Rattus norvegicus: one gene and its partners. The protein of the gene in region 7 binds, or shares a complex with, the protein of the main gene of each other region. Links are inferred from orthologs where the notes say so. Each region holds a gene or a part of one and is shown on either strand. Other genes may lie near its edges.

Region 1 (4,285 bases), on a different chromosome or scaffold from region 7:
CTACGATGCAAACACATGGGAAAGGCTATAATCAAAGCCGGGACCACAGGCCTGAGGCTTCTGTAGCTCTACAACTTCCCTTGGGCTGGCTTCTTTCTGTGCGGTTAAAATCGTAGCCTAGAAGAGTGGAGGGTGTGTTGGCACTTGAGAACTGACTCTGGGAACGTGTCTTCCTAGGGTCTCATCTTCTACCACCTGTTTGGGGAATGTTTAGTAGCGTTAGCAAAACAATAACGCCCTTATTTATCTCGAAAGTTTAACTTCGCTGAGAAAGTTTAACTTGGCCCAGAGCTTGGGAAAAAAACACTAAGGGCCAGAATAGTTGGTAAACGCTAGCAAATGGCTGCCTTTGATGTGAAAAGCCAGGGTACATGTCTAGAGATTCAAAGTTTCTTCTCTGACCCTTGTTCCATGTTCCTACCCCCTCTTACCTCACATAGAGGCTGGATGGGGGAAGGGACGCTCCTGGCAAAGGAAAGTATTCTATAAACAGTAACCAAAAGGAGTTTCTGGGGCCCAGAGGTGGCTGGCACAGAGGTGAAAGGGAGTCCGTGGGAGGAACCAATGAGAGAAAGCAAGCCCGCGGGTGATAGCAAAGACTGAGCTGGACTGAAGGTGGGTGGGTCAGAGCTAGAAAAGGAAAGGATCAGGAGTAAAAGTGGGGTGGGCCAGGCGTGACCGTCCGGGGCTGGATTCCCGGGCCAGGCAATACGGAGTGACAGCTCAAACACACGGGTCTGGTGGAACACAAGGGTCTGCAAAGAAGGGTCTGGGCCAAGAAATCTGTCCAGCAGAAGCATGGTTTAGAGACCGGGCGGAAAGGACCCATTTCTAACGTCATGGTCCCTCGTCGCCACCCTCACTCGCCTGCAGGATCCGGGACCGCACTGCTGCTGCTGCCGCCACTGCCGCCGCCATGGCTCACCAGACTCTGCCCAGCTCCCCGCGCCTCCGCTGCCAGTGCCTCCCTAGAAGCTACAGCGCTAAGCTACGCCCCGAACACAACCTAGCCTCTCCATTGGAGGGAAGGGGCACTTTTCATAACCAATCATGTGTCAGGATTCTTGACTCCACCCATCACTCCCAGCCTTGGGGATAGGTGATTGGTCAAAGGCGGAAGCGTTTTCCTCTTCTCTGACTTCAGCCTATTTTTGTTGGCGGAGATAGGGAGACGCCCCCTAGACTTGGTACTGCATATTAAGCACACGGGGAAGACGCCCCCTAACCGAGAACTCCGATTGGCTATAGGTAGGCCCTCAAGGTCCCGCCCCTTTGCTAAGGAAAGTAAATAAAGTCCTTGAAGAATTTTGCCTGAGTTTCACCTTAACTACCACTCGCGGGTAGGGCTGCTGTCTAGGGTGGGACTAGGCAAATATTACCCTATGAGATAGGGAAACGAGACCGGGCTGTGAGTTAAGGATAGGTTACCCCTGTAAGGGGCGTGGCTTGCGGATCCTCGCTTTCCCGCCGACGGTTGGCCACGTCACGTGACATGGGCTGGAAGATGGCGTCTCCCACAGACGGTAAGAGCCGGCTTGGAAATTGTTGGCCTGTAGTCTCATTATTTGCTCCTCTGGGAACTTCCACAGCCTTCACGCTTACGCTTTTTTTCTTGGGCCCCTCTTCCTTCTCTCCCACTTCTCTTCTTTGGGCTGTGTCGGCTTTTCAGCTAGCAGGTGCCTGGTACCAGGTCTCCCCGCTGTGTACTAGGTAGGTGAAGGAGGCCACCAACCGGTGAGACCCTATCCGGGAAAAGGACAGAGGTCGCTCCGGCCCATCGGTGATGCTGAGGGGAAAGGGAGGGAACTTTCTTTTTGAACAGGCCCATTGGAGTGTTGGTTCTGTTCTCAGTAGAGCTGAGACGAGTCTCTCAAGCTCTATAGCTTTGAGTGGTGACTGACATGAGGTCTAGGGTTCATCCCTGTACCAAGCCGGGAGAGAAGGATGCTTGTCCCCTCAGTTCAGGACCGTTGCCTTGGCAGCAGGGAACCGGGGACCTGGTTTCCTTACCCTGATTCCCGAGGGAATGAAAATTAGCCTTGTTAATGTAGTTTCGCACGCTTCTCAACCCTTAAACCATCACTCCCTCTACTTCATGTGTTGTTTCCTTAGACTGAGGGCAGGAACAATTCTGCTTGTATTTCGTCTCAGGTGGTAAATAGGTGTTTTCGTTATACCCGTATGCTTTTGCTCGCGGTTCTGCTTTAGCATTTGGAATTCTCTTCTGTCATTACTCAGTATCTCAGTATATTCCTTGTCTATTAACTTTGCCCGGGCCACACCCAATTATAAATTCCAAGTCTGTCTTATTTCATACGTTTAATCCTAGGTTCTAGAATAATGCCTGTAAAGCATTTGGCCATAAATAAGTTAACGTTCATCCAAAAGTGAAACTGGCCTTGGTATGTGACCCCTAATTTTAGCTACTTGGTAGATTGAGGCAGGAGGATTGTTGCTTCAGGCTTGTCTAGGCTGCAGAATGAATTGTAGGCAAAATGTGTCTCAAATACAAAGTTGGGGTTTAGTTGGCAGTTGTTGGGTTTTGTTTTATTTTATTTTTTAACCCTAGACAAGGTTTCTCTGTGTAGTCCTGGCACTTGCTCTTTATACAAAGCTGGCCTCGAACTCAGAGCTCCTCCTATCTCTGCCTCCCAAATGCTAGAGTTAAAGGCACAAACCACCACCACCCACCTTCAAATAAAAAGTTTTCTTTTAAAAAGTAAGGGAAGAGTGGCTGGAGAGATGGCTCAGCGGTTAAGAGCACTGACTGCTCTTTCAGAGGTCCTGAGTTCAATTTCCAGTAACCACATGGTGGCTCCCAACCATCTGTAATGAAATCTGGTGCCCTCTTCTGGTGTGCGGGGGTACATGCAGGCAGAACAGTGTATAGGTAATAAATCTTTTTAAAAATGTGAGGATACAGGGGGCTGGAGAGATAGCTCTCAGTGGTTAAGAGTACCTGGTGCTTTTGCAAAAGACCTGGATTCTTTTTTTTTTTTTTAAGGTTTATTTATCTAATGTATATGAGTACTTTATACACCGTAGCTGTCCTCAGACACACCAGAAGAGGGCTCCCATTACAGATGGTTGTGAGCCACCATGTAGTTGCTGGGAATTGAACTCAGGACCTCTGGAAGAGCAGCCAGTGCTCTAAACCACTGAGCTATATCTCTCTAGCCCCAAGACCTGGATTCTATTCCCAGTATCTACATGGCAACTCACAACTGTGACTCTGACCTCCATGGACATCAGGTATGCATGTGCTCCACATATATACTGTGCAGACAAACAGTCATACACATAAATAAATCTAAAAATGAAAAATAAAAAGTAGGGATGTAGTTCAGTGGTAGAGAGCTTGCTTATCATGAACAAGGCAATAGGTTCAGTCTTTAGTACTAAAAAGCATGACTAGATTATATTAAAAATAATGTTACCAGATCTCCCTCCTTTCTTCCTTCTTTCCTTTTTTGAGATAGGGTCTGACTGTATGGCCCAGATTGGCTTCAGACTCACCATCTTCTTGCTTTCCTACCTGTGCTTCCAGTATGCTGGGATTAAAAGTGTACCACTCGGTAGGGCACTTGCCTAGCAAGCGCAAGGCCCTGGGTTCGGTCCCCAGCTCTGAAAAAAAGAAAAAAAAGAAAAAAAAATGTACCACTATGCCTGGCCTCTTACTTGATTTCGAAGTTTCAGGTTTAACTGCATTTTAAGTTTTGAACACATTCACATACCTTAAGGAACTGTGTTCATAATAAAAGAGATTCTCTAGCATGTGTGATTTTTTTTTTCCCCCTAAAACATCCTTTTCTTACTAGCAAAAAAAAAAGTGTTGGTAGGATTTTTGTCGGTTTTTTTTGTTTTGTTTTGTTTTGTTTTTTTTAAATTGAGGTTCATCTTGGTGTCTGTGGAGGTCTACTGAGAACAAGACTTCTAAAAGGTAGGGTCTGGAAGGATGTGGTGCAAGGCCAGTTTTGCTAGATGTGTGAGGTCTCTAGAATCAAAGAGAGCATATAGCTCTTCTTCAAATCCAGGGTGGTTTTATCTGAGATGATACTAAATTCGACTAAGGCAGGAGATGTGCTTATGTGTATAAAAAGTTCACACAGTGACTCCCAGAGGCAAAACTAAACAAGCAGAGTAATCTGGGGAGAAGTAAGTGGGGCCTGTAGAAATGGTGGCAGCCATTGTGTAAATGCCAGTGGATGCAGAATTTATGGAATGCTAGACCCTACACAAATCTAAACTAACGAAAAGTAAACAATTCAAAGAACTGAGGTTTGTG
Region 2 (2,448 bases), on a different chromosome or scaffold from region 7:
CCATAGCTAGAGAGATCGTTGATCCTAGGGGAGAACTTAGTACTGTTGCCTTGCTAATTAATATGCTTATCAAACTGCCTCCTAAATTTTCATGCTTACATGTTGCTTAGAGAAAATGGCAGGAGTCAATGCAGAAATTCCTGATAAACTGCTGAGATTAGGTTGAGTGCTCAGCCCAAGGTTCAGGAAATATAACTAAAGAGGGTATACAGAAATATTGTACAGTGGCCTGTGGGTTCTGATCCCAGGCCTCCTACTATGGCAGTCATGGGTAGAACTGAAGAAGAGAGATCACCAAGAGGCCAGTTTGTTGAGGAAGCATAAGTAAAGTCTCACAACAGGCCATTCTGATGTTCTGCTTCCTGAGTCAGAACTCACCAGACATTCCAATCTGTTTCCTTTTTACAGTGTTTTGACGCAGCCATTATAGATGGGGAGGTGGCAAACTTGGCTGTTTGTTTTGGTTCTTTGATTTAAATGACAACATAGAAAAAAAAATTGTACAAACCATAGGATGGGAAGAGTGTTGTGAAATACTGTCTTTTGGATACAACATGGCCATTGTACTGTGAACTCACAAGCATCTATGGTATCTATACAAGACCAAGCCATCCAACTAGCTGGAAAAGAGGCAGTCACTTTTCTTTGGATCTGTGCATACATGGAGTGCTAATTAGAATGAAGAGAACATGAAAATGGAAGAGAAGGTACTAGGAGGGCAAAGGGGGTCATTTTGTAAATGGTCAAAAAGAGCTGATTGTGGCATACATTCTTTAATCCCACACGGCAGGAGGCAGAGGCCAGCCTCGTCTACAGAGTAAGTTCTGGGACAGCTACATAGAAACCCGGTCTTAAAAAGGACAAAACAAAAAACAAAAACAAAAAAAAAAACACCCCCACATTGTATAGATATCTGAAATTACCAGTAGATAAATAAGATATAGATAAAATGTTCTAAAAGATTACTATAAATCTAAAATTAAAATGGTGTATAGTTTTTGGTGTGCTGAAGATGTAAGAGGGATGAGAAGGTACTAGGAGGGCAAAGAGGGTCATTTTGTAAATGGTCAAAATATAGAGAGCTGGCTGTGGCACGCATCTTTTAATCCCATACAGACTTCACAAACTTTACCTAACCCATGTAAGGTGGGTAGCAGAACTGGGATGATACAGAGGTATCTCAAGCCTGTTGGTGATTAGAGCTAGCTGATAAGAGTCCACAAAGAACTTGAAAGGCAAACTGGAAGCAGGATGGTTAAGTTCAGTTGAGGTGTCCACCAGATATGCAAGTCGTCTATGGCAGGTGTATAGGAGACTGGGTAAAAGATCTAGACTATGTAGAGGCCGAAACTCAAAATCAGCTCCCTAGAGCTGAGGCCCACCCCAGATATAAAATGGTAAGTACCAATGTTTAAGGAAGTATCAGATGCCAGTGAGGCAGAAAAGCCAAGAGCTGACAGTGAAGACAGAGGAAAGAGCATCAGAAGAGACCAAGAAAGCACCAGGCCTAGACTCTTAGAAACCTGCTGGGCCAGGTACTACACCAAGAACAGCACAGCTACAGCCCTGTGGTGGAGGATTAGCTGACAGACACGGGTGACCAAGGATTACTTTTTAAAGGCATTCATACGTAGAAAGGAAAACAGAATGGTGAGGTGAGTACGAAGAGCAGCAAATCTCAATTAGTGAGGCTTAGTGATGCTCCAAGTGGTGGCAGGAGGGGGGATGAAGTCCCAGAAACGGGCAAGAGGCACAGGCACTGACCTGGAGATTAGGCATCCTTGTCTGGCTGGCAGAGAGCAGAGGTTAGCAGGAAAGGAACTGCCAGCTCCAAGACTCTCCTTGCTGGCCCCCACCCCTCAGTAAGTACTCACCGCCTGTGGGGTCTGCCTTGATGGGCTCAAAGGAGGTAGAAGGGTTGGGTCCAGATGAACTGCTGCTGCTGCTGCTGCTGCTGCTACTGCTGCTGCTGCTGCTGCTACTATCCAGTAGTGCAGAGGACTGCAGAGGTCGAGTGTCCAGTGCTGTCAGGCCCAGTGGGAGTGAACTGAGTTCACCACTGCCCTTGTTCTCAGTTCCAGGGCTACCACTCACTGCAACCACATCCCCAAACCCAAACACAGAGTCAGGAAATAGACCCTACACCTGCCATAGGCTAGATCCTATGACCAGGATGACCACAGTGCTGGTAGCCAAATCCAAGGAGACTTAGTCACCACTAGTTACCAAGAAGCACTAGAAAACATCATTAAAGATAGAGCACATGTCCTGGAGGAGGGAGACTCATGGGGTTGCCAGGATCCATCAGACACTGTCCAATCTGGGATAAACTACCCTACTAATGCTGCCTATATAGTCAAAGCTTCCTTGTTAGAAAGGGCATATTCAGGCAAGTGAGATCCTCGTGAATTAAGACACTCATGGACAAACCTGACCTGAGTTCAAATC
Region 3 (4,274 bases), on a different chromosome or scaffold from region 7:
ACAGCCAGAGCCAGACAATGAGACCATGCCTCGAAAAAACAAAGAAACAAACTACCCCCCCCAAAAAAAACAAAAAAAAAGGGGGGCGGGGGCGGCCTGGGATTGATTCTAAATTGACCAAGGTTGGGTGGTTCAAAGTTAACCGATGCGTGGAAGATAAAGTAGTATGAGGTGATAGTGAAAGTACCCGGGCTTGAGAGCTCCTTGTAGCCTACACTGGACTTGGGGACTTGAATATTGTCAGCTACTCTTTTCTTTTTTTTTTTTTTTTTGGTTTTTTTTTTTTTTTTTTTTTTTTTCCGGAGCTGGGGACCGAACCCAGGGCCTTGAGCTTCCTAGGTAAGGGCTCTACCACTGAGCTAAATCCCCAGCCCCTGTCAGCTACTCTTCTTGTGGTCATCCCCACCCGCAAGGGCAGGAAGTATGTAGGTCTTGTTAAACCTTTCGTGTTTCGATTCCCAGTATTGGCAAGATGCCTGTCAGAGAGGACCACAATGCTGATCAGATGGGCTGACCTGAGCAATCAGAAATGCTGATGGAGGACCTCAGGATTAAAGGATCCCTCCATATGCACCCTCCCCACCCCTGCACCGCCCTCTGTGAGGCCTAACGTGGAGTTACTTAGTTCAATCTCTTCACATTGTAAGCATCTGCTGCCTCTCGGTTCCCTTTTTTCCTTTTCACTAAGTCAGGAGTCAAGGTCTGGGTTGAGTATGGGACAATAAACAGGCTCTCAGGCGTTTGTGATTTTTTTGAGACAGGGTCTCACTGTGTAGTCCTGAATGGCCTGAACTTGGAAAATCCGCCCGCCTCTGCCTCCCAAGTGCTGGGATTAAAGACAGGTGCCATTGTGGACTGACCAAACGAATGAACGATAACTGGGCGTTGGCTACTAAAGGAATTTCAGTAAAATGAGACTGAGATCAAAGCCACACATCCCTACTCATTTCCTGGCACCCCTCTTGGGCTTGGCTTCTGGGTGACAGGGAAGAACCCATGATGTGAACTAATGGAATAAGTGGGTCTTAAGACCGGAGATGTGGCTGAAGTGAACTTTGGAGGTGAGCCTGAGCGTGCAGAAGAAGCAGTTTCTGGACTGTAAACTGAGGGGGTGGAGACCACAGGTTGAGAGTTTAGGGGCTCATGCGGCATGTGGAGACTGCGGGACGTGCAGAACCAAGTACGAAGTTTGTTGCCTTCGCCAGACCCCGCCACCCATCGAGTGGGCGGTGAAGGGGGCGGGGTCCATTGCCCACGCCCCCTGCAGGGCACAGCGAGAGGCAGAAGGGAGAAGGCGCCCGGCACCGCCCGGACAAAGCCTGCGCGCGCCCCGCCCCGCGATTGGCCACCCCGCCCCTGGTCCCACCCTCCGTCGCCTGCCCCGCACGCTGCAACCAATGTCTGCTACCGAAGCCGACTTCGTCACAGCCACGCAGGCCAATGGAGGAGGCGTTCGGCGGCGCGTGGCTCTTTCGCGGCAAAAAGGATTTGGCGCGTAAAAGTGGCCCGGACTTTGCAGGCAGCGGCGGCCGGGGCGGAGCGGGATCGAGCCCTCGCCGCGGCCTGCCGTCATGGGCCCGCGCCGCCGCCGCCGCCTGCCTCCCGGGCCACGCGGGCCGTGAGTGCCATGGCCGTAGCCCCCGCGGGCGGCCAGCACGCGCCGGCGCTGGAGGCCCTGCTCGGGGCGGGCGCGCTGCGGCTGCTCGACTCCTCGCAGATCGTCATCATCTCCACCGCGCCCGATGTCGGCGCCCCGCAGGTCCCCACCGGCCCCGCCGCGCCGCCCGCTGGCCCTCGAGATCCTGACGTGCTGCTCTTCGCAACGCCGCAGGCGCCCCGACCCGCGCCTAGTGCACCGCGCCCGGCTCTCGGCCGCCCGCCGGTACGGACCCTAGGCGCGGGCGGGGGAGGGGCGGGCTGCAGCGCTGGGCGGTGCGGAGTCTGGGCTGGGCCTCGGGGCTCCGCCCCGGGGCGCGCGCTGACTGACTGCCTTGCCCTGTCTGTTTGCTGCGCCTTGCTCTGGGCCTCAGCGTCTTCACCAGAGCGGCAGGTTTATTAATGATAATGGCTCACGTGTATTCAGCTGGTGCTTGCTTATTGCACGCCCAGGCTTTGGCACACTTGAAGTCGGCCAAAATTCTCAACTCTGTTGTGAGCTGGGTGTTGTCACGTGCCCATCTGCCAGAGGGAGGAACTGAGGCCCAGAGACAGGGAAGTGCTTCACGCAGCTGCAGATGGTGGGGCTGGTATTTGAACTGATGGCGGCTGGCTTGCTGCAGAACCTATGGCTAGTTAGTGCGCACAGTTGCTTGATGGAGATGAAAGAGGGTGACTGTTGGAGACATCCTCGAGAGACCCTCCTTCGTGGCTCTGCCAGGTGCAGGCCTGGCCTTCCAGGCCTCTGGGGATAGGCCTCTTGATTGGGAGGCCTTCTCTGCAGGGGCGGGGTGCTGGGCCAGCTGCTGCAACCCTTCCTCTGCCTGTCCTTCCATCTGCCACCCTTCCAGCCCCTGGTTGCCATGGAACTTTATTAATCAGGCGGACAGACCCCTGAGACTCTGGAAGACTGGGTGGGCTGGGCCCCTGAGAAGGGGCCTCCAGTTCCTGGAGAGAGAAGACGTGGGAGGGAGATCCCTGGATAAAGTCTTTTCCTGATCCTAAGTAGCAAGACCAGTTTAGGCTGGGGGCCTAGAAAAGGCAGCGGAAGTGGAGAGTGGAACTTGGATCTAAGCAGGGGCCAGCTCAGCCAGTGGGCCACCAACTTTATTGTAGGGGTGGAGCAAGCAGGAGGTGTTCACAGCAGGGGGCTTGGAGCAAGCGGGAGGGGCCAGACCCAATACCGGAGTAGAAACTGTTCAACTCCTGGTGGGGGTGCGGGTGGCAGCTGGTCCCAGAGGCATCTTAGAGAAGGCCCATACCCCCTTTGGCCCAGTGCCCAGTGCTGCCTTCCTTCCGGAATCACCAAGATGCTAATAACAATAACAATAGCAACCACCATTGTTTTGAGGACGTTTTGGGTGCCAGGCTCTGTGCTAAGCACTTTACCCACTTAACCCTGTGGACAGCCTTACTTTTTCATCCTTCCATAGATGAGGAGGCTGAAGCCCACAAATGATGGAACTTCTTAATCATTCTTCTAGGGAGTGGTATTTCCTGATTGTTAAAGCCCTTTCCTCCCACTGAGGAGGCCGGCCAGTATTTGGTGGGTCAGCTGGCTTGCCTTCCCTCCACTCCACGGGCCTGTACCAGTAGGTAGAAGGTTGGGCCCTGGGCAGATATTCTACATTTGACTAAACATTGCATTCACTCAAGTTGTGGAGTTCGTGAGTCCCCATTATGTGCTAGGTGCAGAGGTACTTAAGGATCCCCTTCCCCCACGGTACTTAAGGCCCAGCAAACATTTTCTGTGGGAGAGGTTGACACCATCCTGGAGCCAAAGGCCAGGAATGCAAATCTGGATTTTGGCCTCTACTGACTTTGCTCTGGAATTTGGGGTGGGGGGGCAGTCCTTGAAATAAGCTACAGGCTTGGCTTCCACCCAGTGAGCACTTGCTGGGTGCTTCCTGTGTACCTCTCTACACCTCTGCAATTCAGACATTCTTCCTGCCCTACCTACCTTTACCTTGTCTGTGTGTGTGTGTGTGTGTGTGTGTGTGTGTGTGTGTGTGTTTATAGATCCTATCGGGGTGTATTGACTAGGGAGAAGCAGAGACAGGAGAATCCACATGTTCAAGGCCAGCCAGGGTTACCTAGAGTGAAACTGTACCTTAAAGGAAGTTGGTCTGGAGAGATGGTTTAGCCATTGAAAGCACTTGCTATTCTATATGACAACTTAAGTTTGATCACAGCCCAACACTGAGGTCACAGATGACCAACTCCAGTTTCGAGGGGTTTGATATTGTCTTCTCCTGTCCTTGGGTACCCATGTTCATATATAGTCATACGGACACAAAGTTCTTTTTAAAAAGAAAACAATTTAAAAAGCAAATTAGTTAAATAAAAATAAATTAAAACACCAACAGCCTATTTTGGTTAACTGACATCTTATAATCCAAGCAGGCAAGAATGAGGATACTGAGTCTTGAGTTCAAAGCCAGCCTGCACTACAAAGACCCTGTTTCAAAATGGTAACAGCAAGAAGCTGATGTTTCCATTATAATGTAGTACTTGTTTACTGTGGACAGTATGTAGTACCATACATTAAGTCTGTAAAAGACAGGCTTGGGGTTGGGGATTTAGCTCAGTGGTAGAGCGCTTGCCTAGCAAGCACAAGG
Region 4 (3,321 bases), on a different chromosome or scaffold from region 7:
AGTTTCTTCAGTGATTTTGTTATTGTTTAGTCAATGATCACTTTAAACTTACTGATCACAGTTATACATTTTATTTTAAAGTTAATTTGACAAGAAAAATAAAAAATGATTATTATGTCACTGCAAGCAGGTTTGGGTTTGAGAGAGGCTCATTCATCAGTGCACACAGCATCTACACAATTGGAGTTGTAGCCAGAGATGTTTTTGGCTAGTTTGTTTGTTTGTTGTTTTGGGTTTTTTGCTCATTTTTATTGTTCTTTTGAGACAGGATCTCACCTCATTATGTAGCTGGACTTGAACATATAGTCCTGCAGCTTCAGCTTCCTAAATCCTGGGGTAGAGACTTTGGCCCTTTGGTGATTCCCTAATTGTGTCTACGTGTGTGTGCGCGTGTGTGTGTGTGTGCACGGGTGTATGTATAAATATTTAAATCCACTTCTGGTAATTCTTCACCTGTAAAATAAAAATATCTAGCCACATTTGTTCTTCTGAAATGGTAAGTAATTGGAAGCATTTCAGCATGATTTTGTTTGTATAATGGCTCCCAATAAACTTTGTGGATTAAAGCTATAATACAAAAAAACTCCTCCTATTCCTGTGTGGCCAGTAAATAGATGAAAATGAAGGCTGGGGAAATTCTTATTCTGTGATTTTAGGAGTTTGCCTGACAGGAAGATTGGAGAAGAAGATTTCTTCTTTATGCCGCACTGTCTGCAGAGTAAACTCCTTGACATTCCAGCGTTCCTTGAGAACGTCTTTGGCAATCAGATACAGTGGCTACTTGTCTGTGTTGAGCTGTGGCTTTCCCAGTGACACAATGCATGCCCTTAGTTGTTCAAAAATGTTTTTAATTCCCAGCGTTTAATTAACTTGGAGCTTCTTGGGAAATTTCATTATGTAGTAGCTCTTACATATACTATAGAAACCTTTATAAGGAAGAAAATAAAGAGGGTGCACTCCTGGTTCACATTTGACCGCATACCTTCCCTTTAAGTCTCTTTTCTTGGAACTGGGGTCCAAACCTGGGCTCCTACATGCTAGACAAATACTCTAGCAATGAGCTGCATCTCCAGCTCCTCTCTTTCAAATGTTTGTAAAAATAGATGACAAGAAGGGATGACTTTCCCATTTGATTTGTGGGGAGTTGTTGGTAACAAAACTATTATACTGTCCTTATAGGCCAGTGAACAATATAATTATAATAATTACATAAAACTGATCATAAATATTTTAGAATCTGTTTAAAAATATAGCATACCATTTAAGATACAGTGTTATAAAAACATTTTGAAGCAATTCCTTATAAAATTCCTAGACAAATAATTGATTTTTAAAAGTCTAGTTGTATGGATTGGTGATGTGGTTTAGTGGATTAAGGTGTTTGTTGCCAATCCTGATGGCCTGAGTTTGGTTCTGCAGCCCACATGGTAGAGTGAGAGGACTAATTCTTGAGAGTTGTCCTTTGACTTCCACATGTGTTGTGTGGCATGATGCACGTGCACGCACACACACATACACATGCACACACACACATACACATGCACACACACACATACACATACATGTACACACACACACACACTCTCTGTAATTATGAAGTATTTTGGGTATTTAATTTTACTAATTTTCACATCACTGTTGATGTTTCCTTTATAGTCAAATTGTGAATGGGAAACAGTGGTATACGGGAAGACAGAAGACCAACTCATCATGACTGAACAAGCAAGAAGATACCTGAGCACTTACACAGCTCCCAGCAGCACATCGAGAGCTCTGATACTCTAACTGTTACTGAAGCTGATGAAAGGCCCCACCCCCTACTGTGCTTATGCTAAATTAGGTTGCAATGAAATTTGTCTCAATTAATTCTTTTAAAGGTTTTAATACATCCCTAAAATGGTTCGCGGTTTTTTCTATATTGAACAGGCAAAAACCTAATAAGCCACTTAACGTAAGGGGTAGGCAAATTTATTATAAATATATTTTTAAGAAATGAGAGTTTTAAAGCTTGTTTTTAAAGAACAAAGTGGGAAAATAAGGATGTTCATGGGTATTCCAAAGTCAATTCTCACGTTAATTTCTTTCCAGGATATATGTCGCTACTTTCTCAAGGCCGTAGTCTGTTATAAACAAGTTAGGTGTGCGTGGCCTCTGAAAGTCTGTGTTTAGGAAGCACAGAGGCTTTATGAAGTACTTTTGCATGTGTGCTGATTTACTTAGAGAAACACAGTGGGAAGGAGCCTCAAGGAAGCTAGAAGTTGCACTACTAATTTTGGTATTTTTCAGAAACAATGAAATTAACTACAGTGTTAAGGATATTTATTTGTGCATAGTACTAAAAAAGCATTGAAAAAAAGGCTTTTTCTTACTAGTAAAGAGTCAGTATTTCTTCATAAGTCTCAGAAGAGCTGAGAATTTTGTTGAATGTATTGTACAGTATGTAGGAGCAAGAAAACTTTGTAAATTGGAAAGATGTCTGTTTTTATAACTTATTTTCATTTTTAAAGCTTAAATGTAGATATTTATATATACAGGGTGTCTAGAAGCCAGTGTTGTTTCTTGCCATTACAGCTAACATAGTAAAGAATAACTTTGACTTTCAAGTATGAAATAGTTAAGTTATAGCTTCAAAGAATACAATATCTATACTGTATGTCACATCTACCTAAATATTGCACTATATCCTTTAAATCATGTTGGTTATAAAGTAGTTCTAAAATGTACTAAATAATAATTTAATATTTTCTTTTTAAATTATATTGGAGGGTCATATAAATTAATCTGGTGATTTGTATATGTGTTTGAAATTTTCATTTTGTTTAAAAAACAATATGGTACCTTGCTCCCTAAAACAGTCTGCACTTAGAAGTTTATTGTATTTACTCAATGTTTCAGAAGTAGAAAATATTATCTTTTATTTATACAAATATTTTGTCCTTTTATAAATGTTTTGTGTTTCCAGGTTACAATAGTTGCTTCAGTTGCCTGTTTAGGTGTTTGCACTTACTTTATCTCTTTTTGAAAGAATGTCTTTGCTTATGTGGTAGAGATTTATGTAATTTTTTGAGACGTATAATGGTGTGCTGTCAACCTAAACACTGACAGGCAGATAGAATTGTACACTGTAGTTTGAATTATTTATAATTGACACACTCTCTCCCTCTCCACTCCTGAAGTATGCTGCTATAGAAAGTAGCAGAGTCGGCTTGCTGCTATGAGAGATGGAAAGAGCAACCACCACTTGCACTGTGTGAAAAGATAAGCAAATGATGGCCAGTTCTCAAGTTAACTAATGGATTCAACGATTCCCAAGCAGGTTCT
Region 5 (4,265 bases), on a different chromosome or scaffold from region 7:
TGCTTGCAAAGTTCAAGATGGCATTAAAATGGCCAATGAAACAGAGAAACTCACCTGCAAAGTGAACAGAACAGGAATTTTCAGAGCAACAGACACTCACACTCCTTAACAGTTCAGTGATTAAGCTACAGAAAAATAAAAACTAGTTTAATCTGTTTCTACAGAATCTTCCATTAGTGTTCTCTCTCTCCTTTTCAGGTAGATGCCCATTGCCTAACATGTTATTTTACTCTCAGGGAGTAAAATTATGCACCTTTCGTTACAAAAAAGGAATCCATAAAGAACAGAGACACATGAAAACTTAAGTTTATTTTCAAGGACTTACTAGTTCTGAAAGGCAGCAGTAAGGCACAGAAAGTAACAGTCCAGTTTCAAACATTCAAACTTATTTGGCAGACCTAACCCAGAACTTTCCTAAGTTTAGTGTAACAGGCACACATTCGGGTGGGAATATTAGGGTTACCATCTATAGTCTTGAATATTTTATGGCCACTCAGGGTATCTGATGAGAAAAGTAATACATTTCTATATTTGTGATTTCACAAAATTAAAGATTCTCTATTTAAAAAGATAAAGTGCATGTTTTAAATTTTCCACTTAGAAATTTATTCTAAGTGTAGGACAATCTTTAACATGTATTATTAGAATGTCTTAATATTTCACAATGATGTATTATGAGAAACATCACTAGGAATACTTCAGTGTAAGTCATTTTGATACATAAAATTTTATATGTATTTATATACATAAAAAGTAGAAGTATTTATAGGTAAAATGTTTCTTTTTTTAACCTAGCAAAAAGAATGGTACATGGGTCTCTGTAAGTCATTACTTATTATTTTAAGTAATTATTTACTTATGACTACAGAAATCTTTGAATCTTTAGGACAGATCCAGATAACAGAAACAAAGACCCTTAAATATCAGAACCTGCTGCCATACATGTGAAGGGGCCGAGTTCATTATTTTCTGAGGTTTGAGCATGTTTCAGGACAAACCATCAAACCCCATTTTTACTTGGAAAGCACCAAAATTCTCTGGCTTTTTTCATGCAGTCATCCAGTACAGCTGTATTTAACTTTAAACAGCAGATTTCAATGGGTGTTTTGTAACATCAGGTGTTTCTCTGCTGACTTCATTAATGCCAGTGAAACCATACCATTTCAATTCATTACAATTTGAGTCCTATAGATGTCCATTAAAGCCCTTTTAAGTAGAGGAAGAGGTCGGAGTGGAGGAGAATACAAGAAATTTTCAAAAGTGGAAAAAAGTCCCACAAATGATGTTTTCAAGTAAGAACGGACACCAACTGGCATCTACACCCAGGAAAAGGGTGGGCGGTTGGGAGGGGAATCCAAATGCCAACAAGCCAGCGTCCCCCACTGGGCCACGAACAGGACACTCAGCAGTAGAGTTCTGGAAGGCAGGCTTCTCAAGCTCAGACTCTTATTTCCAATGTCTTGGCCACTGTTTTGAGGATGGTAACAGTTTCAAGCCAGGAAGGTAAGGTATGATTCTCAAGTCTCTAGATGCTGTGAGGAGTTTTCTCAGACAGCCAGGTAGAGGAGTCATAAGAGAATCACAGAGTCATAAAATCCTCTGTGATTTTAAACTAGCAAATTTATTTATTTGTAAAGTATTGGCTCTTTCTGAACCTCCGTGTACTGGCTGAATTTTAATTCGCACGATCCCATATTGTTTCCCCCTCCCTGCGCTGTGGAATCCTTCCAAGTCTTGCCAGGAACGGTTAAATCACTATGACTGAACAGCTTTAAATGCACGTTGTTGTTGTTTGAAAAAATCCGAACCATAGCAAAGAACGAAGCAAACATCCTTATAAAAACCAGATAAAGTTGACTAAGTAATTCCACCCATTAGTCTGAAAGTCACAAAACGGACCCCTCTCCGTGTGATCGCAAATCTCAGGTCTAAAAAGTAGAAAGATTCTAAATTAAGTCAACAAATCCAATCTCACTTCCTAAGCATCGATGAAAAATTTCCCCGTCTAAAAACTATTTTAGCGGAGGTGGGTTAAGTTTTCTCTTTCCCTCTTTCATTCTGAAAAACTGGCATGAAAGTTCTTCAAAACAGGCACGAAGTCCCGCAGAGCGCTCCATTAAGACACCAGTTTCCAACAGCAAACCAACCCTAAGTGAGCCTAGAGCAGAGCGCGAATTCCTGGGCTCTCGGAGCGCTTCTTTGTGGCCAGGGCCGCGCGGTGGCCGGTAGGTGGGGGCCCCCGCATCCACCCCGGCCCCTCCACGTCCTAGGTACCTCCGGATCCCGAGTCTCGGCCGGCGTGTGAGCGTTAGACCCAGCTCCCTCAGGCCTCGCCCTCCCCATCCCCATCCCCGCCCACCGCTCACCGCTTTGAGATCCAGGACGCCGTCCTGCGCCTCCTGCAGCAACGACACGAACTTGGTGGTGAGCAACCCCAGGCTCTTCTCGTGCCGGCTGCTGCCCCCCGCGAGCGCCGCGGACTGATGGGAAGAAGGCGCCCCATGCGGCGGCGGCGGCGGCGGCTGGGCCTGGGCCTGCGGCGTGGGCTGAGCAGAGCTCGTGGGCTCCGCCGCCGCCATCACCGCCGCGGCCCTGACGTCCGCTGCCCGGGAACCCCTCGGCCGCCGGCAGAGGAGGTGCGCGGACTCCGCTCCGGCCCGCGGCGCTCCCCGCGTTCACCAGTCCCTGGAGCCGCGAAGCTCGCGCGCGGTACCACAGAACGCGCCGCACTACAGAGCGCGCGGACTCTAGCGAGCGGCCAGTGCCGCGAGGGTGGGCCTGAGTTTAAATGGCAGGAAGTGACGCCGCGCGGCGTTGCCTAGTAACGTACTCTCCGCGGAGGGGCGGGGCAGTCGCGTTCCCTCGGGCGAGCGGTGCTCAGGACGGTCTATAGTCCTGCTTAGGACCAGCATGCAGTCTAAGCCTGGAGCTCTCGAGCATGTCTCTTTTGCATCAAATCAGGTGCAAGTATTCTAAGGCTCGTCGCATCAATAGAAGAACGCGGCGTCCCCGAAGGCTTTTGGACTCTGATCTTCAGTCCTTTCCAAAGACTTTTCTGCACACACAGAAGGACTCGAGCCTTGAAAGTGAAGGTGGTAGACTCCGTCCTCCCCCCCCCCCCCCAACTCCAACTTTTGCCTTACCTGCTTTTAAGTAGCATTCTTTACAAAAGTTATATTTTTGCCCAATACTTGTATTATTGGGACACTCTCAACATATTGTACTTTAGTGATATAGGAAACTACGGATGTATAGTAAGATCACAGATCTGAGAGGAGAAAATGAAAATGTGTTCCCACATTTTGTTTTTTACTTGCAAACTTGAGAATCAAGATTAAAAACTTCAACAACTTGGGTGCATGAGGTGGGTGGGGGTAGGTGGGGAGCACCCTCTCAGAGACAAAGGGAAGTGGGGGATGGGGTGAAGAACTTTTGGAGGGGGTACTTAGAAGGGGCGCAACATTTGGAATGTAAGTAAATAAAATAATTTAAAAAAACTTAAACAACTTGGTTTTCGCACCGGTTGACTATCGTTCACACTGAACAAATAGTAGGTGACTACAAACATTTTTTGGCAGGAATTAATGAAGACATATCCTACATGCAAGAATGCCCAAATTAAGAGTAGAGGGGGGATCGAGAGGGGAAATGGACAGCATTAACTAGTAAATCTGAAAACCAAAATTTTCCAGAACACCGGAACAAAACTTCTTTAGGGGAAGCATTTTTTCTTCAAAGCTGCAACACTTAAAATCCCCACCTGCCCCCAATCCACCTGCAAATTCTGTTCCACTGAGCCTTTCCTTATGTTCTCCCTTTAGCCCTTCGTATTATTTAGTCTTTCTGGGTCTTTGGACTATAGCATGATGATCTTTTATTTTACAGCTACTATCCACTTATAAGTGAGTATGTACCATGTTTATCTTTCTGAGTTTGGGTTATCTCACTCAGGATGATGTTTTTGAGTTTCATCAATTCATTAGCAAATTGCATGTACCGCTTATTTTTAAATCCATTGTTCGGTTGAGGGACATGCAGGTTGTTTCCAGTTTCTGGCTATTATGAATAAAGCTGCTATGAACATATGTGATCAAATGTCCTTGTAATAGGTTGTAATTTTCTTTGGATATGTACCAGGAGTGGTATAGGTTGGTCTTGAGGTAGACTGATTCTCAATCTTCAGAGAAACCACTACATTGATTTCTTTTTTTTTTTTTTTTTTTTCCCCAGAGCTGGGGACCGAACCCAGGGCCTTGCACTTGCTA
Region 6 (3,500 bases), on a different chromosome or scaffold from region 7:
TGAGGGTGGTGAATCCTGCCTATAACCACATCACTTGGGGAGCTGAGGCATGATTGCTATAAATTTGAGGTTTACCTGAGATGCGTTATGAGATCCCTGTGTTAAGAAAGAAAAGAAAGGGAGGGAGAGAGGGAGGGAGAGGAGAGGAGAGAGAAGAGAGGAGAGAGAGGAGAAGAGAGGAGAGAGAAGAGAAAGGCTAGTGTCACGTTCAAAGCTTCTCAGATACAGGGAAGTGAAAATCAGAATTACTGGTCTCCATCAGCCTAAAAATTGGTTTCAGTGCAACAGAATTTTCTTTTTTTTTTTTTTTTTTTTGGTTCTTTTTTTTTTCGGAGCTGGGGAGCAACAGAATTTTCTTAAAGATTGGCTGTAGATCCACAGGCTGTAATTAGGGTTAATTAATATTTTCTAAATGTCTCCGTGACCACTATGCAGAGAATACACTACAGCCCAGTTTTTCAAAAGTAAAGACTACCAGCAGGGTGCATCTGTTTAGATAAACAGTCAGTTTTCTTTTCAGACCTAACTAAAACCTTTGAAAGTTGGTACTAAATGAAAAATAAATCAGCACGATAACCTGAGTTTTCTTTTAAACATTTAAAACATAAATACAAACGGGATTATGAAAAGACAACAGAAACCCGTTTTCCTCTCACCCCAGCCCTATTTCTCCCAGGACTTGGAAACATGGTCAGTACATCACACAAGGCTCAGCTATTGTCTGCTTGGCTTGACCCACCTTGTCAAGATGCTGCTGCAAGATGTCTCTCATCTGCGTTCGTTCGGCACTCTCTGTGCCCGAGGCAGCACTTACACACCGTGAGAGAGTTCCAACTTCCTCCTCCGCATCCTCGCCAAGAAATATCCGCTCATCCAGACTCCCAGTGGCTAACACGTATTCTTCATACGCCTTATTAACAGCCTTACTGTGGAGAAACAGGACCGCCTTCAGCTTGTGTGCCAGACCACTCGGCAGTTTACTACAAGACCTGGTAAATGTCTCAAAGGCATTTATTTCTGTAGAACAATTGCTCGTTACAAAAACTGAAGAGAAGAAGTAGCTTGCTTTTAATCTGTGTGACGGGCACACACTGAATATATTTTCAACAGTGCGTCAAGGTAGGAGCTAAGCAAACCTGCCTCTAATAGGCTGATAATAATTACACTAATAATAATTAATAATCATTCGACATGCTAAACTGAAGAAGAAACAGCTGTGGTCCTGAGTGACAGCTGTGGTCCTGAGTGACAGCTGTGGTCCTGAGTGACAGCTGTGGTCCTGAGTGACAGTTGTGGTCCTGAGTGACATGCAACTGGTAGATGAAGCAGGACCCTCCTCAGCCGCTCTTGGACCTCGAAAGACCAGGTATGGCCACATCTATCACCTCTAAAGAGCCAACTACATGTCTTCTTTCCCTTTTCTTAACTTTTTCTTTTCAGACGAAATAGCCTCCACCTCACAGTCACCCTGCCACATGTCCCAAGTGCCGTGTGTCCTGATGGCTAGGTGCAAAAGCATAATCTCTTTCGTCTTCTTTTGAAAAAATATCTATTTATTTTATATATATGAGTACACTGCAGCTGTCTTCAGACACACCAGCAGAGGGCATCAGATCCCATTACAGATGGTTGTGAGCCACCATGTGGTTGCTGGGAATTGAACTCAGGTCCTCTGGAAGAGCAGTCAGGGCTCCTAACCTCTGAGCCATCTCTCCAGCCCACAAGAGCATTTCTTAATTTTGAAATTTATAATCCAAATTCTTGAGTAATAAAAACTTTGAGCAGAACGAAAACAAGTTTCACTCAGCTTAAAGACGCACTTATAGAAGTTTCCAGACCTGTTGTGGGTTTTATGAGTTCTACCCTAAAGCATTAAAAATGTCCCGAGTACGAACAGTACAAACACTGAGCACTCGGTCACCTCACAGGGAACTTGAATTACCAGAGCAAGCCAGGCCTGGGGAGGCAGAGGCAGGTGCATCTCTGAGCTGGAGCCCAACCTGGTCTACAGAGCAAATTCCAGAACAGCCAGGACTGCAGATCGAAACCCTGTCTCAAAAACACTGCAGCATAAGTACTCACAAGCTCTCTGCGAAGTTCCCGGGCTCCAGGAAGCCAGTGAGATTTTCTTCCTTCCCCCTGAGGAGCTACGATGAAAAGGAAGGTCCCTAGGTTACATGCGGCCAAGTCTTTAACCTGAGAACAACAACCGTGTGCCGTTAGAAAACAGCGCTGTGCCGTTATGTACGGACCTTCTTTTCAAAAAGCTTCCTAATGTAGGGTTTCCAGAAATGCTGCTTTATCCCCTTTGCCTCCAGCACTAGGCCGTCGTGTAAGGAGCAGAGCTTCTCAATGACACACGGTGGATCAGAGGACGGGTGAGAGTCCCTGGGGTGGCCGTCCTCGGACACGCCTACATGTATAAAGTCACAAAATGGAGTCACTGGTCAGCACCAACTAGCTAGCATTCAATACACTGAAACACACATGTTAGTCTGCTCAGGATACGATCAAACGTGTAACTAGTTTACATATAACTCAGAAGATGGCGAGAGATAGAGTGGGAGATGGGCATGCAGCATCCCTGATACACACAAACCAAGAGGCTCACACTTCCTCAACCTACAGCCCAGTGCTCAGGAGGACTGTCATGAATTAGGATGGCCTGAGCCATAAGGTCCCATCTCACATAGAGAAAGGACTGCATACACTATAAATTAAGTAAATATCTTTTAAAATTGTGGTGGAGGGAAAGTGTATCACGACTCAAAAGATGAGTCATAGCGAGTTCCACAACGAGCAGAGCTGCAGAAACCCTGCCTCAAACAAACAGGCAAGCATTACCCATCTCTGTCTGCTGAGAGGGCTCAGCAGGTGGACACATCTGCTTCCAAGCCTGACAACCTGTTTGATCTCTAAGACTCACCCTGTGAAGGAGAGGGCAGAGTCCCCAAGCGTCCTCTCACCTGTACATGTATACTGTACAGCCCAGGCCTTCCCCTTCTGCCTACATTAAAACGTGACAGTTTTTAAAAAGACACAGCTCACAGATGATCAACTTTGACTTGATCATATTAGACATACTTATAGTAATTTATAGTGTGCTCTTTCATAAGAACATTTAAAAAAATCAAAGAGAATGAAAGGAAACAGAAACAGAACAAATAAAAATATCAGTTGGAAGCCACAGATGTGGCACAGGACAGGGTACCATGTGTTCAGTCCCCAGAACAAAAGGTAAGAGGACAGAATGAAGAAGAATGGGGCAGAGGTCAAGGGCTCCCTGTCTAAAACCCTTGGCCAGGATTTAGCGTTTCATCTTTTGAATTTTGGATTATCTACACCATCTTTATTAGATGAACGTGCAGAACCAACAATTCTTTGGTGAAATCTAAAACTTTATTTTTCTGCTCTCTTGTTTGGTCTACAGTCCTGAAGATTAGACTTGGCGCCAGCCAAGCAGTCTGTCACAAGCTCCCTCTCAGGCCAACATGTCCCAC
Region 7 (4,231 bases):
AGCGTGACTTTTGCCCCTCTGTTCTCGCCAGCGTCATGGCCTTCCGAGCCCCATGTCGACAGTGCACTTTACAGCCAGAGTTCGTCTTAAGCATCAAGTGCTTACACAGCTCCAGTGGTGCCTCTTTCCTACCCTTCAGCACAGGTTACAAAGTCCCTTTCCAAACCCCAATACTGCATCCTACTGAAAAAGCACAGGGAAGGCCCAACCCTGCAACCCCCACTTCCAGCCAGAGAACAGGGGGAGCCGCTTCGCCTCTGCCCAGGTCTGTGCGCACTTGTGGAGGGACAAAGCAGCAGCGCTCTTACCCAGTCACAGCACTGGCCTCACCATACCACAATGGCTAACCCCAAACCAGCTGGCCTCACACTCTCCACTGGATAGGACATCCTGACCACTTGCCATCATGGTGTCTACCCACCCACCCACCCCTTCCCCAGGGACACAGCACACAGGAGTGCATGATGCAAAACTGAGGTGACAGGACTTGGAGCATGCTGACTCACTGAAGATCACTGAAGAAGATGCAATGATCCCCGAAACCACACCAGGCCATGGGGTCTCAACGAAGGCACGGGAGCCAGTGCCCTGCTTACACACCGTTTACCAGACCTAGCTACTTTGTGGGCACGCACTGAGCGGCACGTCTCTCCTTAGGCACACACGGGGGGAAGAGTCAGGACGTGGAGGCAGGCAAACAACAGACATAACGAAATCGAGCCCCACGCCACATACAGCTGTGACTTCAGGTGACCTACACACGGTCTCTCAGGGTGGAACTCGACTCCCAAGAGCAGGTCCAGTGCTTGATGACCATAAGACGGACACCGTCTGATCCAGGTGGGCCACTAGGCATGACTAAATCCTTGGGCCTCTAAGTCAGGACAAGACTCGGTACCTGCGCCACAGTTTCAGTGCACTTGGGTACAAGTCTAGCTGATGTGGTATTATCTGCCTGCATTTTCAGGGCTGCACAGAAAATTACACTCATCTAATAGTCAAAGGACAGTGAATGCTGAAACACTGGCACAGGCACGATCAGTGTTGGAGGGAGTTATAAAGTAATACTGCGAACATGTATGTGACCAAAATCACAGACTGTATTTTTGCCCCCTAAAAGCCTAACTGTCAGTACCCATTTCAAAAAAGAAATTTCAAATGCTCAGTAGCTTTGTAGTAAATACGAAGCTTAACCAACCAGCGTTTCCGTGTTTCATTAACCACCAAACGTCATCTTTCTGAGAGAAAAATGTGCCCAAACAAGTAGTTGGGATTCAACCCATCAAAGTGGAATTACGGTCTTACATACTACATAAAACAAGTTAAGTTTCATGCATAATGCATCGTAAGTTGCATGCTGACAGCTCTCCTTCGTGGAAACCCACTAGCAAAATACCCCCCTCACACGTTCATTTCAACTGGGAGATGCATTCAAACACAAATTTTGTATTCAAGCGGTTTAGATAGATTAAAGAAAAATCCAGACATCATCATCTTAACCACAAAGAAAAAAAAAAAAAAAAACGTGCCAGGCTTCAGATGACAAAGAACATTTGTGCGGAGGGGAGGCACCCACCTACTGACTGGCCACCCCTCACCTCCATCCCAGCTCCTGCCTGTAAAATGTCTGAGCAAACCACTGCCACGCAGGTATGGCCACTCTCAAATAAAGGGAGAGAACTGCAGCGAGCTATGCTAACATGTCTGCAGCATGCAGAACTCATACTTACATCTTTTGCCATGTTACCAGATCCAGGAAATCAAGGCTTTAACTGCGTACCCTCCACAGAAGAAACCGGACTTATCTGGTAAAAAGGAAGGGGACGAGTAATGAATGAGAATGAAAAAAAAAGAAGTTTAACGCACATCGCATTTCAAAGGAAACATCTCCCCACCAGCACGAGGCAGGCCTCCAGGCAGCAGGGGCCTTTCTTGCACAATCCCAACAGGAGAGCTAGCCAAGCAGGTCCCACACAGGGATTTTAAGTCACCTCTCCAAATGGAAATGCTCCCTGCGGGCACCAGCAGCTCCCACCCGCAGAGGGGCCAGACCCCGGCCCCTTGGCGGAGCGAGGCGCAGCCGTCAGGCTCACCCCACCTGGGCACGCGGGCCCCGCCTGACCACAGGCCCCACCGAGTCACAAGGCCCCCCACTTAGGCACACGACACTGCGTGGTTCTGCCCGGGCTGCAGCAGGCCCCGGGGCTGCCCAAGACCCCGAGGTGCCGCCGACCACTCTGACAGGTGGGCTCCCGGCCGCCCGGCCGCCCCACCTGTCACTAGGCCCGGCCACCAGCCTCGCGCGCTGGCGCGGACAGAGCCGGAGGGTGGCCAGGACCCCTGCCTGCCGCCCACGCCACGCCGCGTCGAGGCCGACTCCGGGCTGAGGCTGGGCGGCGGGCGGGATGCGACCGGACGCGGGAACCGGGCTGGGGCGGGAACGGGGCCGCGCGCCCAGCCCGCGCCCTCCCGCCGCGACCGGCCGGTGCCCCCGCCACACCTGGCTGGCCGGCGGGGCGCGCGGGGCGGACGACGGGGGCGCGGGGGCGCCGGCCCGGAGGTCCGGCCCTGGCGGTCCCTGCCCTGAGCCAGCGGCGCCGGGACGCGGGCTCACCCTGGGCCGAGCGTCGGGCCGGCGTGACGTGCGCGCGGCGCGGTGACGTGGGCGGCGGCGGGCCCGCTCCGCGCAGCGCGCCTGCGCGCCTTTTCGCGCCTTCGGCGCCCTCCTCCTCCTCCTCCTCCCGCCGCTCATCTCCCGCGCCTCTCGCCGGTGCTACCCGCCCTGGGATAGGGGAGGGACCTGTGCGCGCGTGCGCGTGTGGCGGCCGCCGACGCTGAAAAGCGCTGCGCGCGCCTCCATGTGCGCTCGGAGAGAGGCCACGTGTGTGCGCGCCTCTGTGTGTGTACACCAAGGGCCAACTGTATGCATGTCTGTGTGCATGCGCAGGGAGAAGAGGGCCACGTGTCTGCCTCTGTGTGTATGTGTGTGTGCCACGCGCGCCAACGGTGAAAAGTCTGTGGTGTGTGCCATACCTGCATGTACACATAGGGAAAGGATGATGTGTGCACACCTGTGTATATCCATAGTCTCGCTATACAGACACGTGTGTATTCATGGAGTATGAGTCGTGTGTGTGCATGCCTGGACGTATATATAGAAGAGAACCCTCTGTGCATACAAATATGGATACCTATGTTTAATGCCTGCACACTGAAAAGAATAGGTGAGTGTGTACACACAAGGGAAAAAAATGACCAGTTCTGAGCGTGCTTTAAAGTACCTGCATGTGCACCACAGGGGGAGGAGTCTTGTACATTTATACAGAACAAAGTAAAGGCTGTTAGGATGCATATTGGACAATGCAGAGACAAGATCCCCCACCTCTGCTCAACTATTGACCTCCACAGCCACAGGGCCTGAACTTGGGCAGTCAGAGGGAGCAGCCTGAAAGACAGGTGTGTGTGTGTGTGTGTGTGTGTGTGTGTGTGTGTGTGTGTGTATGTATGTGTAAGACTAAAGCTGGAGAGCCTGGGAGAAGAATAGACTGTGGCTTGCAAATCAGTCCAAGTGGTTCAGATAAAATGACCCAACTTTTCCCAAGCATATGGGACTAAAGACCAGAGCGCTGTTCAGTACTATCAGACAACTGTTAATGTGAGCGACCAAATTTTATTCTGAGGGGTGGAGAAGCCAAATTTGACTCCCAAACAGATCTTTCTCTATTACCTAGCTTCCTTGGTCAGACGAGTTAGCATTTGACTGAACAGTCCTCAAGCTGCTGTCCTGTTTAGAACTCTTCCTCAGCTGCTTTGAGGAAGCAACACTGTAACCACAGCAGCTTATTGCTAAAGCACAGCTACCGTTCCAGAAGGCAATACCCAAGGCATGAGTATCTCAATAGCTTGCACCAGACCTCTTACCATCACAAGCTTTAGTAAGCTCTAGTAACCATCTTCACCCAGGATGGGAGGGGGTGGGGGTGGGGTGGAGGGGGAAGCATCTGTAATGGCTGAGCAGAAAGGCTGTGATTGGTGCAAACATCCTTGCCACACCCCATTTCTGACTATATAAACAAGCTATTTGGCTAACTTTTTCAGTAAGCTGGGAGAGTCTTTCATCCAATAGGAACTCCTCTCAGGTGACGGTTTACAAGCTAGACTGGTAATATGAAGAGATAAACCACAGAGCATCAGCAGAGCAGTGACAGCAGCAAGGGGGAGTCTGAAGAGT

What was found.
Region 1: Tfdp1 (region 7) and Lin52 share a complex: the UniProt entries of both Homo sapiens proteins name them as parts of the DREAM complex. The link is inferred for Rattus norvegicus from reciprocal best matches to the Homo sapiens genes TFDP1 and LIN52.
Region 2: Tfdp1 (region 7) and E2f4 share a complex: the UniProt entries of both Homo sapiens proteins name them as parts of the DREAM complex. The link is inferred for Rattus norvegicus from reciprocal best matches to the Homo sapiens genes TFDP1 and E2F4.
Region 3: the proteins of Tfdp1 (region 7) and E2f1 are in contact, whole or in part, in a crystal structure (PDB 2AZE), measured with the Homo sapiens proteins. The link is inferred for Rattus norvegicus from reciprocal best matches to the Homo sapiens genes TFDP1 and E2F1. Residues at the interface, in NP_009042.1 of Homo sapiens: Glu201, Cys202, Leu205, Glu206, Glu208, Arg209, Arg212, Leu213, Arg215, Ile216, Lys219, Gln220, Gln222, Leu223, Leu226, Ile227, Gln229, Gln230, Phe233, Lys234, Leu236, Val237, Arg239, Asn240, Arg241, Glu244, Pro251, Ser255, Val256, Ile257; in NP_005216.1 of Homo sapiens: Arg202, Leu203, Leu206, Thr207, Asp209, Leu210, Leu213, Gln214, Ser216, Glu217, Leu220, Asp221, Leu223, Met224, Ile226, Cys227, Thr228, Gln230, Leu231, Leu234, Asp239, Ser240, Gln241, Arg242, Leu243, Ala244, Tyr245, Val246, Thr247, Cys248.
Region 4: Tfdp1 (region 7) and Mybl1 share a complex: the UniProt entries of both Homo sapiens proteins name them as parts of the DREAM complex. The link is inferred for Rattus norvegicus from reciprocal best matches to the Homo sapiens genes TFDP1 and MYBL1.
Region 5: the proteins of Tfdp1 (region 7) and E2f5 are in contact, whole or in part, in a crystal structure (PDB 5TUV), measured with the Homo sapiens proteins. The link is inferred for Rattus norvegicus from reciprocal best matches to the Homo sapiens genes TFDP1 and E2F5. Residues at the interface, in NP_009042.1 of Homo sapiens: Glu201, Cys202, Leu205, Glu208, Arg209, Arg212, Leu213, Arg215, Ile216, Lys219, Gln220, Leu223, Leu226, Ile227, Gln230, Phe233, Leu236, Val237, Arg239, Asn240, Arg241, Arg249, Pro253, Ser255, Val256, Ile257, His258, Leu259, Pro260, Phe261; in NP_001942.2 of Homo sapiens: Val126, Arg129, Leu130, Lys134, Glu136, Ile137, Leu140, Glu141, Glu144, Leu147, Asp148, Gln150, Lys151, Leu154, Gln155, Ser157, Ile158, Val161, Met162, Ile166, Asn167, Asn168, Arg169, Phe170, Ser171, Tyr172, Val173, Thr174, His175, Asp177.
Region 6: Tfdp1 (region 7) and Rbl2 share a complex: the UniProt entries of both Homo sapiens proteins name them as parts of the DREAM complex. The link is inferred for Rattus norvegicus from reciprocal best matches to the Homo sapiens genes TFDP1 and RBL2.

The regions. Positions count from the first base shown.
Region 1 is NC_086024.1:109,828,764-109,833,048, forward strand, and holds the start of Lin52 (protein lin-52 homolog), read left to right. Parts: upstream 1-1,485; 5' UTR 1,486-1,492; coding exon of another isoform or gene 1,493-1,504; coding exon 1,505-1,523; intron 1,524-4,285. Other genes in the region: Aldh6a1 (methylmalonate-semialdehyde/malonate-semialdehyde dehydrogenase [acylating], mitochondrial precursor), read right to left, coding at 868-918.
Region 2 is NC_086037.1:50,087,335-50,089,782, reverse strand, and holds part of E2f4 (transcription factor E2F4), read right to left. Parts: intron 2,094-2,448; coding exon 1,875-2,093; intron 1-1,874. UniProt on the Homo sapiens protein: Transcription activator that binds DNA cooperatively with DP proteins through the E2 recognition site, 5'-TTTC[CG]CGC-3' found in the promoter region of a number of genes whose products are involved in cell cycle regulation or in DNA replication.
Region 3 is NC_086021.1:163,532,764-163,537,037, reverse strand, and holds the start of E2f1 (transcription factor E2F1), read left to right. Parts: upstream 1-1,474; 5' UTR 1,475-1,627; coding exon 1,628-1,882; intron 1,883-4,274. UniProt on the Homo sapiens protein: Transcription activator that binds DNA cooperatively with DP proteins through the E2 recognition site, 5'-TTTC[CG]CGC-3' found in the promoter region of a number of genes whose products are involved in cell cycle regulation or in DNA replication.
Region 4 is NC_086023.1:14,396,768-14,400,088, forward strand, and holds the end of Mybl1 (myb-related protein A), read left to right. Parts: intron 1-1,656; coding exon 1,657-1,785; 3' UTR 1,786-2,821; downstream 2,822-3,321. UniProt on the Homo sapiens protein: Transcription factor that specifically recognizes the sequence 5'-YAAC[GT]G-3'.
Region 5 is NC_086020.1:88,731,344-88,735,608, forward strand, and holds the start of E2f5 (transcription factor E2F5), read right to left. Parts: upstream 2,801-4,265; 5' UTR 2,580-2,800; coding exon 2,367-2,579; intron 126-2,366; exon of another isoform or gene 55-125; intron 1-54.
Region 6 is NC_086037.1:32,079,412-32,082,911, forward strand, and holds part of Rbl2 (retinoblastoma-like protein 2), read right to left. Parts: intron 2,414-3,500; coding exon 2,253-2,413; intron 2,148-2,252; coding exon 2,083-2,147; intron 927-2,082; coding exon 740-926; intron 1-739. UniProt on the Homo sapiens protein: Key regulator of entry into cell division. Directly involved in heterochromatin formation by maintaining overall chromatin structure and, in particular, that of constitutive heterochromatin by stabilizing histone methylation.
Region 7 is NC_086034.1:82,900,367-82,904,597, forward strand, and holds the start of Tfdp1 (transcription factor Dp-1), read right to left. Parts: upstream 2,801-4,231; 5' UTR 2,615-2,800; exon of another isoform or gene 1,992-2,614; intron 1,806-1,991; 5' UTR 1,743-1,805; coding exon 1,731-1,742; intron 1-1,730. UniProt on the Homo sapiens protein: Can stimulate E2F-dependent transcription.